Regions from separate parts of the Mus musculus genome. Here regions 1 and 3 are each reported to be linked to region 2. Evidence: microRNA targets listed by miRTarBase, many of them from high-throughput screens and not tested one by one. Region 2 holds a microRNA gene; each other region holds the end of a gene's coding sequence.

Region 1 (3,254 bases), not on the chromosome of region 2:
GAGAAGAAGCCACCCCCTCCAGTCCCGAAGAAGCCAGCCAAATCCAAGGCGGCAGTGAGCCGCGACAAGGCCTCAGACGCGGGGGACAAGCAGCGTCAGGAGGCCAGAAAGAGACTCCTGGCCGCCAAGCGAGCAGCGTCTGTGCGGCAGAACTCGGCCACAGAGAGTGCGGACAGCATCGAGATTTATGTCCCCGAGGCCCAGACCAGGCTCTAAGGCCGTGAAGGAGAAAGCACTCAATTTGAAATCATTAAAAACTCAATGCAAATGGAACAGCGTTTCTCACCCTTCAGTATGGTTATTATCTCTAGAGACCCTGAGCCAACTTTCCAATTGACACACACAAGGGCTCACAATGTGGCTTTTCTGGGTCCCTCCGAGCTTTAGGTTATGAAGACTTGACTCAAAAAAAAAAAAATTAAAAAAAATTAAAAACCACACTCTAGAACCTTTTCCCCTTGGGCTGCCATGGCGGACCAGATGACGACTTGGGCAGCCGCGGCCCAGCCTCCAGATTGCGGTCTTTTTACTTGCTCTGTCTGCCGAGAACTAGCTTGTTTACAAGACGACGACAACAGTCCAAGGCAACCTTGGGCCCCTGCCATGTCCCTCCCTCCCCTACAGCCCACAGCTTTTCTGTTTTCCTGCAGAACTCACAGGGGTCACCATTGTGGCTTTCTGGTTCACACCCTTTGGGGCTGAGGACCCAGAGGACAGAGAGAAGGGCAGCACCCACCCACCCCAACCTCCCCACTAAGTGCTCACACACAGCTGGTCCGCCCTCCCTCCGCTGCCACACGCCAGCCTAGGCAGTGTCGGGCTGGACTGGCCTGGCCTCTGAGCAGATAGGAAAGTACTGGTCCTTGGGGCACGTGGGGAAACCACGGCTACCATGCTCCAGCCTCCTCTTCAGCAAAAGAAAATGTAGGACTCCCAAGTGGCTTCCAGGGGGTTGGCTGTCCTTGGCCGCACCTTTATCCAGTCCCCCAGGGGCAGGTGGCGGCTTCTGTACGTTTGTGTACATATGCACATAGACCTTAGAGTGTATATTTAATTAACGCCCATCTGCTCACCCAAAGCCCACCAGCGCCGCCGGCTCTCGGGGTCCCTGCAGGAGGCGGGTGTGTGAATAGCATATATTTTTACATGTACTATATCTAGGTGTGTGTACAAGTGTGTGTAAAAATATACCTTGTGTGTAAGCAGTCCCGTTTTTGGTTGTCCCCCTAGCCCGTCAGCCCAGCCTCTTGAGTTTTTCATTCTGTTGTGATTTTTCATCCCAATCCTCTCCTGTCCCCCACTCCCATCCCCAAGGTGTTCTGAGCCCTGAGCTGCAAAGGCCTGGGCCCGCAGAGCAGGACGGGAGGGCAGGGCTGGGTCAGGCCGCCTGGAGGGGGCCGGACCCAGCAGTTTGGCGTATCGGGCTGTTCTATACTGTGCATATGATTTGAGGGCATTGGGGACATTCTCTTGTCTGGCGCATGCTGCAGGGTTTTCCCCCAGGTGAAGCAAAGGCCTGCTCTGGGGGCCTGTTCCAGCTTGGCCGCCCCCTCTGTGACCTTGGGCAAGTCACTTGACCTCTGTGTGCCTCAACTTCCTCCTCTGTAAAATGGGGACAGTCCCTGCCCCTCCCTACCTCACAGGCATGTTGTGAGAATAAATGAGGTAACGTGTAACGAGGCCTCATGGTGTTATTGCACTGTGGTGGGCTGGACTGGGTAAGGAGGATGGCAGCAGACGATCCCAGGAAACCCAGCTAGACCCCACCTCCCGGAAGGCTCCCTGGTCTGTGAGCCTGGGCAGTAAATCGAGGAAGCATCTATGTGGCATTCAGTCCACCAGGCATCAGAACAGCATACTTCATAGGGACCATCTCAGAAGAAAGAGAGCAGATCGTTCATTCAAAGGCCTGGCCTCTGTACATGGCAGGCAGGGCCCCATGACCCCCAGCAACTGCCCCCTCACCAGCCTAGGGATCCAGTGCCTTAGGGAATATGACCTGCTGTGAGAGAGCTGCATGGGGGAAGCCAGTGTGGTGTGGATTAGTCTCAGTGACAGGGCCGTAAGTCTGTGGAAGAAGGGGAGGAGCTGCAGAGAGTCCAACCCAGGTGGAAGAGGCCTGCTACTGAATGACAGCCAGGAAGCAAGGAAGATGCCACCCAGTGGAGTCAGAACGTTGTATTTAAAAGGTCTTGGGCCAGGCCCTGGAACCACATATGTATGCCTCCCCTGGCTCATCCCAGTCAGGATACGGGTGACCCCAGGCCCAGGGACCCAGCTTTTCAGGAGTTTGGCCCCAGCTGGACCCCTTATGAAATCCCAGCTGTAAATAGAGCCCTGTGCTTGGATCCCAGCATGCCTCTGTCAGGGAGGCTGAGCAGCAGCAGCCATCCCGGGCCTGTGTAACAGTGCTGTCCTTCACCCACTTGAAGGGCAAGTGGCTTCCTGTTTTGTCAGATTAAGATTGTTTCTGCATCTAGCACTTAACCGGCCATTCAAAGGTATAAGTGAATGCTGGCGAGGGCAAGCCAGACATGAGGAATGGAGGTCAGATAGAGGCCTAACTACCCTCATGGGCCTCAGGGACTTGGAAGGAGAGGAACTTGGCATGGGAGAGTCTTGATCTGGCCTGGGAAGGTTCTTGGAATTACAAGCCAAAAGGATGGGCGTCTTGTGTGGAACGTGGGTCTCTACACCTAGATAGCCTAGTGCCATGCTAAAGGGACGCTTCCCAAATCTATCCTGCACCTCCTAAGAACAAGGACGGTTTCTGCCTGGCCACAACACCCTCAAAAAAACAAATGTTCCAGGCAACACTCCTTTATCCAGACATTTGGAGCCTAAAATACCCAACATCCTACAGGTAGTAGCTCAAGCCTTGTTCCCCATGACTTCCCCTGGTCCGTTACATCTGGTTAGGGGCACTCGTGACTTTTAGACCAAGTTTCTAGTCTGAAGACTACAACGGGTGCCCAGGCTTCCTTGTGTTCTTCTTTGTGACAGTGATCATTTTAAAGTGCCCGAGCAGCTTACAGAAGGTTTCTTGGTTTTGTTTTATGAGATGTATTACGTAGCCCAGTCTCGACCTGTAATGTGAGCCTGCCTCCCGAATGTTGGCATGGCAAGCAGGTGCTTCCACACCCCACTCCTCCCTGGCTAGATTTAAAGCAAACAGTCTGGACAAGAATAGTACTTAGATGATAGTCCACCTCCTTTGAGCCTGTCCCGTCAGAAAGCGGTTGACACATCTCAGA
Region 2 (3,254 bases):
TCATTCCATTTCTCTCTCTCTCTCTCTCTCTCTCTCTCTCTCTCTCTCTCTCTCTCTCTCTCTCTCTCTCTCTCTCCCCCTCTCTCCTTTTCTAACCCCCCTGCTTTTCCCTTTTAAGATCAACCACTTCTGAAGAACCAGATTCCACTTCTGTGGCCAGGAGTTTTATGCTGTGCTAAGTGTGATTGTTTTGCCCTGCATTCTGTGCTACTAAACCTTGGATCATTCCTAAAGTCCAGATTCTGCTCTTTCACAACAAGGCGAAAAGATGGGAGAGAATTTGATGAATAGTCAGGATTGAGACTGTGTATTTTCAAAAGTATTGAACTATATAATGTAATTATTCAAAGTAAAGGATCTTTTTTTGTTTTCTTACTATGTTGCCAGGATTTTAAGTTAAAGCTTGTTAGGTGGTCTTGTTCAAATAACTATGAAGTGTGCATGAAAATATTTGCTGTCTGAATAGTTTGCATATTTAAAGAGAAAAATCAACATTAATAGGTATTAAATTATGACATATTCAAAGTTTTTGTTTAAATCTTATCTGTAATAATTTAAATGAGAGTTTGAAGTGTTGTATATCCTGGGCCCACAGTAACAGTTGTGATATATAAAACTTCAATAGAAGCAAAATATCAATTAGGGCCCCATTAACTGGCATATAATCCTTTTTTAGTGTAATAGAAGTGGGTGTTGCTGTAAAAATCTGCAAGGAGCATATTTTAACCCATTTTTGTCTCCTTCTTTGGATAGAATGGGGTGATTCTTAAATGTCCATTGTCTGCTTTGTTTTTCATGCCCCACATTACTGTAAGTTCTGATCTATAGGTGGCCGTCCTGATTATTCAGCTCATCTTTGACTTTCATGTGTTACTTATGTTTCTGTCTGTGTGTTTCAATTAGTATTTAGAAGATTAAAAATAAATGAACCCAACTCTAATTCCCAAGCTGTCCGTTTACCTGGAAGAAGAATTCTCCTGCATCACACGAGACTTTGCCTAGTCCCTGAGACCCTAACTTGTGAGGTATTTTAGTAACATCACAAGTCAGGTTCTTGGGACCTAGGCGGAGGGATACCAGCAGCTTGGGACCTTATTGATTCTCGGCATAAACCACCAGAACAAAAGAACAGGCATAGATTCTGCATAGGCGCAAAGAACAATGGTTTTCTTTCTAATCAGCAAGGGTTTCACCATGACAACACCCCCAAAATACAATCTTCAGAATCGGTACTCTAAAGATATGGCACAGTAGAATAGAAATAGCGTTTGTATTTACTGTGATTATCGTATAAAAGTGTTGTAAGAGATATGTACAAGAAGTAGAATTAAAACACAAGTTCTTTTTAAAAAAATAAACATCGCTTTGGGTGTGTTTTAAGATGAAGAAGATTCATTGTAAGAGTTGTTTATATTCATAAGTTTTTGTATGCGTAGAATTATATACATTAGTTATTTCAATAAATTATGCATGCTTCCATAGAACTGTGGCTTAGACTACGTCAAATGAGATTCTAATCATACTCGAGGCCTGAAAAAGAAACGATTTACAGTTTTCTTTATTGATCTTATTCTTGTTGATACTAATATGAGAGAATATTGTTTTATACATGGTAATTTTAGCCAGTGTTTCCTTAGTCTTTTGCCCACACATAACAGTATATATGTATGAACAACTGCCTTATTCTGAGATTCACAAAGTATATATTTAGGGAAAATACAGTGCTTTTGAATTTCTACATTTCACTTTGTGTGTGTTATAAAGCATTAGAGAATGCCTATGAACTCAGCTGCTCTTGTTCACATGTAAAACACGTCTGAGATGCAGGCTTTGATCAGAATTTTCATTACCAGAAGTAAATATTCCATCCATAGCCTGTGTGACTTATTAGTCAATGATACATTAAACATGTGTTTTTTTTGATCTATAATCAATAAATCTATTCCAAATATACAGTAACATTGCAGAAATTTAGGCTTAAAACAAGGTGGCTTTCATAACACAGGCAAGAGTGACTTTGGTGTTTTAACTCTGATGTTTCACCGTAAATTGTTTTCTCCATTAGTAAATAAACCTATGAATCTATTTTAGGATATCATGTGGAGTCTTTGTTCTGTTTTTGTTAAGGTTGTTACTATTGCTCATTACTTGAAATATCAAAAAAATGCAAAGCATCTTTATTGTTTCCTAAAAATAATATAATAGTATCATAAACACAGACTACGTTGAAGTTTGTGTTGATGTCGTATCAACACAAAGAATCTTTTTAGATTCTTTCCTGGCCTCACCCCTGTCATTTATCTAGAAGCTTTAAAATCTAAGTGTGTATATAAGCATGTTTTACGACTCCATGTGAAAGGAGTAAATATAAAGTCAGAACTTTTCTTTAATCACAAAGAACTCTATGTATGTGTATCTGTGAGCATCACACAAGCTTGATTCTATTTAACAGAAGCTTTACACAGATGATCAGAGAGGAGTGTGTTTACTAACACCTGTTTTATGATAATCATAAACGATATGCAAGTGTTACTTCATCAGTTGAAATCCACAATGAACTAGGGAATAATAGTAGTCAGCTATGATAGCAAAAAATTTAAATGTAAAGGTTTTCTGTTTATGCTATGATAATGAACAGTAGTATATATTAACTTAGATTTTATAGGAGAAAAAAATGCTAAAATAAATTTCACTTCTCCTGAACATCACATATATCATATATGATATACATCATGTATCTTGCAATTTTGAACATTCTCTGTGCAAAGCATGTGTTGTGTGAGAATACTACTCACAAACAAGTCTTATGCTATAAAGGTGTGTGTGTGTGTGTGTGTGTGTCTGTGTGTGTGTGTGTGTGTGTGTGTGTACATCAGACTTTGTTTCATAAGCTACTTTATGTTGTGTGTGAATGGATGTGACTATCTCTGCATTTCTCTCTCAGCTGTCACCAGATAATGCAGTTCTGTGGATTCATAATGTGACTTGGAAAACCAGATCATTCTAAGCTTAAAATAAACAAAAAGATAAACAACAAAGAGTGAGAAGATGATGTGGTTTGCATACAAAACGCAGTGATATTAGCAATCTGATGGCTTCTGGATTGGGAGAGCAGCCTGAGCCAGACGCATACATTAAGAGCTGTCTGCTGCCCATGTGAGCTTGCTCAGTGTATTGGAAATGAGGGATCACCTCTCCTCTGACACCAGCTTATTTGTACATTTTAATTTTGAAGTAGCAAGTCACTGTTCCAA
Region 3 (3,254 bases), not on the chromosome of region 2:
ATACTTGGGCGTGCATGTGTGCACACACACACACACACATGCACACACATATTAGTGCAGGTACAAGGTCAGAGGAAGAAGTTGGATCCCCTGGATCTGGAGTTAAAGATAAGTGTGAGCCATCGTGTGGGTGCTGGGAATTGAACCCAGGTCCTCTAGAGGAGCAGACAGTGCTCTTAGCTGCTGAGGCATCTCTCCAGCCCCCACCATCAGGCTCTCATTGTTTTGTGGTATCTGTTGTCCTTAGTACTGGTAATGGGAGACACCTTGTGTGTGCTGGACAGGGGTTCCAGGTCCACCTGACAGCCCATTTTCATCAGTTTCGTTTACTGCTGAATCCTTAGAACCCACCCCCACCCCTGCTCAGTCCCCGAGAGGCTAATCAAATTTTACAGGATGAATGAAAATGTTACCTGCTCTAGATTACAGACATCCAGAGAGGAAGATTTTCACCCTCAGAAGAACAAAACATCACAGCCTCACCTCTGGCCCAGAGTCCTCAGAGCTATGGCAGGTCCTGAACCTCTCTCTCCTGGGCTGCAGTGCACTGGCAGCGCAACCTCAGGAGGTACTATGCGGACTCTGCCAGGTCTGGGTGCTCGCTAACGTAACTCATGTTCAAGGGCTGCTGTGGAATGGAAGACAGGTAGGAAATGAGCTCCTCTAAGGGAGATAACCTGTTTGCACTAGCAGGTGCTAAGTCAGCCCCAACCAAGACAGGGAATCCCTTCCCCTCACTCTTCCAGCCATCTAAGTGCTGCTAGGCCCAGAACCTGGTCCTCTGTGACTAGTGGAGAGAAGTCCCCCTTTCCCACACAGAAGGGCAAAAGCATGTGGAGTAGCCTCTAACATCTCTGCCACCTCAGATGGAGTGGCCACAGCATCCAGATTGTAGAGTGGACGCTTCTAGTTTCTTTGTGAAGTTAGTAGTTATGTCATATGTTTTGCTGGGCCGCACAGGTGAAAGGGTGTTTTGCTGGAGCAGACACACGAAAGGACTCTTGATGAAGAACCATAAATATCCACCCCACAGACAATGGGAGGGGGAGCAGTGGTTCGGTTTGCTCACCTCACTATTCTTCACTTAACGACATGCACGTATTGGTTCGACTTACATAGCTTGTTGAGCTCAACCTCTGGTAATGCTGCCATTGTGAGAAGCTCGCCCAAGAACTGCATGAGGTTCCTGCAGCTGCTTGCCACTTCTGCAGTCTCCCTCCCTTGGGGCCCACTGTCAAGCCTGGTGGTTTCTGTAGGATTGAACTACAACTGCTGGTTCGTGCCTGGTGTCTGCCTGCTGAAAAGGCTGGACTGTAGCTGCTGGTTCGTGCCTGCCTAGAGGACTGGTCTGCAGCTGCTGAGTCGCATTTGGAGTTTGCTACGGGACTGAACTGCACCCAAAGATCAAGCTCACCCTCAAAGGACTGGTAAACAGGTCTGCTTCCTCCATATCCTAATGACTTTTCTCTTCCACTGCCTCTGCTGGGTGGTGGGCTAAAGGAGAGGTTGGACCCTTATTAAAAGCAGGTTGCAAAAAAATGTATGCCTACAGGATTGAGTTTAAATTTCCCATACTCTCTTCTCCACTGTGGGTCCAGAAGTCACAAAGAGCACCCTGACCCACCAGGTTAATGCTCTGTCACTTGGTGACTTCTGCTGGTGCTTATTCTTTAGGGTCAGAGCAGAACCCTGGCTCTCCAGAGGCAGAACTTGGCTTCTTACAGAACTAGGATTGCAGACACAGCAGAAATGCAAAGGGCAGGAGTGTAAGTGTGACCCCAGGCTGGATGGAGATGAGCACAGAACAGAGGCGCTCATTCTTCTCAGGAGCTATACCTTCCATCCATCCAAAGGAACATGGCTGTCCATCCAGGAAGCAACTGCCTGATAGCCTGACCCCTCCTCTTCTGCCCTCCCTCCCTCCCTAGCTCAGAGGGTGTCCTGCCCTGGCCTGGAGAGACACAAAGAGGCTCAGCTGTTAAGTGAAGTATAAAATGCTAATGCAAGTGGCTTTTATTGAAGGCCTACTGCGTGTTGAGCACCAGGTATGCCTCCCATCTTCTTGCACTTTCCACCAACCAGGAAAGAGGGTGCTAATGGGCCCCAGATGTGAGGCAGGGAGGGAATCACCAAGGCGGAGGTAGATGGAGGCAAAGTAGTTGGGTCCTCAGAGGGCAGGACTCTGGGCTCCAGCCAGCTTGAAACCCCAAAGGCTGAGGCCTCCCTGTCCCTGAGCCCACTGGCTCTAAATTTGCAAGCAGAGTCAAGAGTCTTGGGGTAGCCAGGCAGTGGTGGTGCACGCCTTTAATCCCAGCACTTGGGAGGCAGAGGCAGGCGGATTTCTGAGTTCAAGTCCAGCCTGGTGTACAAAGTGAGTTCCAGGACAGCCAGGGCTACACAGAAAAACCCTGTCACAAAAAAAAAAAAAAAAAAAAAGTCTTGGGGGTCTTAGTGTCTTCACTCTGAGACCTTCAGGAGTGGACTCTGTCTCTGAGTGCTTCTCCTCCCTTGGAATGAGTCCAGAGGACAGAAAACTAGCTGAGCCCAAAATAACAGTCAGATTTCTGCTGGCTGTCACCTCTTCCTCTCCCCTCTCATCGCTCATTTGGATTCCCACTTGGACCTCATGGGCTAGCGGTCAAGGGGGCAAGAGAAAGAAAAGGAAAATCAGATGTAGAGATGTCAACAGCTATGGAGAGAGACAGACAGGTAGAGAGGCAGATACAGAGACAAGACAGAGACAAAGCTAGAGAAATCAGAGAGAAGTAGACAAGAGGTGGGTTGGGGATGGGAGAGAAGCAGGAGGAGGGAGGAGGAGAGAGCTGAGAAGGGAAGCCCGGGCCGTGGACTGGTCCTCTTCTAGGTCCAGCTTCACCTACAGTTCATCCCTGTGGTGAGGATGGAGGCTGTGTCCACTGCTGCCAGTCAGGTGCAGGTGGGGGCCACGAAGGGCCTTTTGAGAGCCAGTCTGGCTAATGAGGCGACCACTGTCATCGTCCCAGGGGGAGGATGTCTCTGTGTCACTGAGCCACTCGGCGTCTCCCGAATAGTGGGTGGGGGAGGCAAGCAGAGGCCTAGCTGAGAAGGCTTGGAGGTCCCGAGGCCAGAAGTATGCTTTGTACTGGTCACTGTGAAGTGAGAGAAGAACTCTTAAGTGGACTCCAACCCAGAGCTGGGGCCTTGACTGTCTGCAGTACCTCTGACCTCCCTGCTAGTCCTCATAGCTACTTGAGAAGTGGCATTTTTAATATCCC

The links. The annotated mature microRNA mmu-miR-125b-2-3p reads ACAAGUCAGGUUCUUGGGACCU and lies in region 2 at 1,042-1,063, shown strand. An mRNA with a match to its seed (bases 2 to 7 or 8) in the 3' UTR can be bound and repressed. Matches are read on the target gene's strand: a 7mer-m8 pairs with bases 2 to 8, a 7mer-A1 pairs with bases 2 to 7 and ends in A, and an 8mer does both.
Region 1: miRTarBase lists Dlgap4 as a target of mmu-miR-125b-2-3p. Seed matches in the 3' UTR shown: 7mer-A1 at 396-402.
Region 3: miRTarBase lists Cercam as a target of mmu-miR-125b-2-3p. Seed matches in the 3' UTR shown: 7mer-A1 at 2,349-2,355.

What each region holds. Positions count from the first base shown.
Region 1 is chr2:156,762,688-156,765,941 of GRCm38, forward strand. It overlaps Dlgap4 (DLG associated protein 4), which reads left to right. Exons shown (of 13, transcript NM_146128.6): 13 at 1-1,676. The coding sequence ends at 216. Among named protein-coding and RNA genes, the nearest start is that of Myl9, 11 kb to the right of the region's middle.
Region 2 is chr16:77,645,277-77,648,530 of GRCm38, forward strand. Mir125b-2 (microRNA 125b-2) reads left to right here and starts at 997; the gene lies at 997-1,067.
Region 3 is chr2:29,881,570-29,884,823 of GRCm38, reverse strand. It overlaps Cercam (cerebral endothelial cell adhesion molecule), which reads right to left. Exons shown (of 12, transcript NM_207298.2): 12 at 1,984-3,128. The coding sequence ends at 2,876. Among named protein-coding and RNA genes, the nearest start is that of Odf2, 6.8 kb to the left of the region's middle.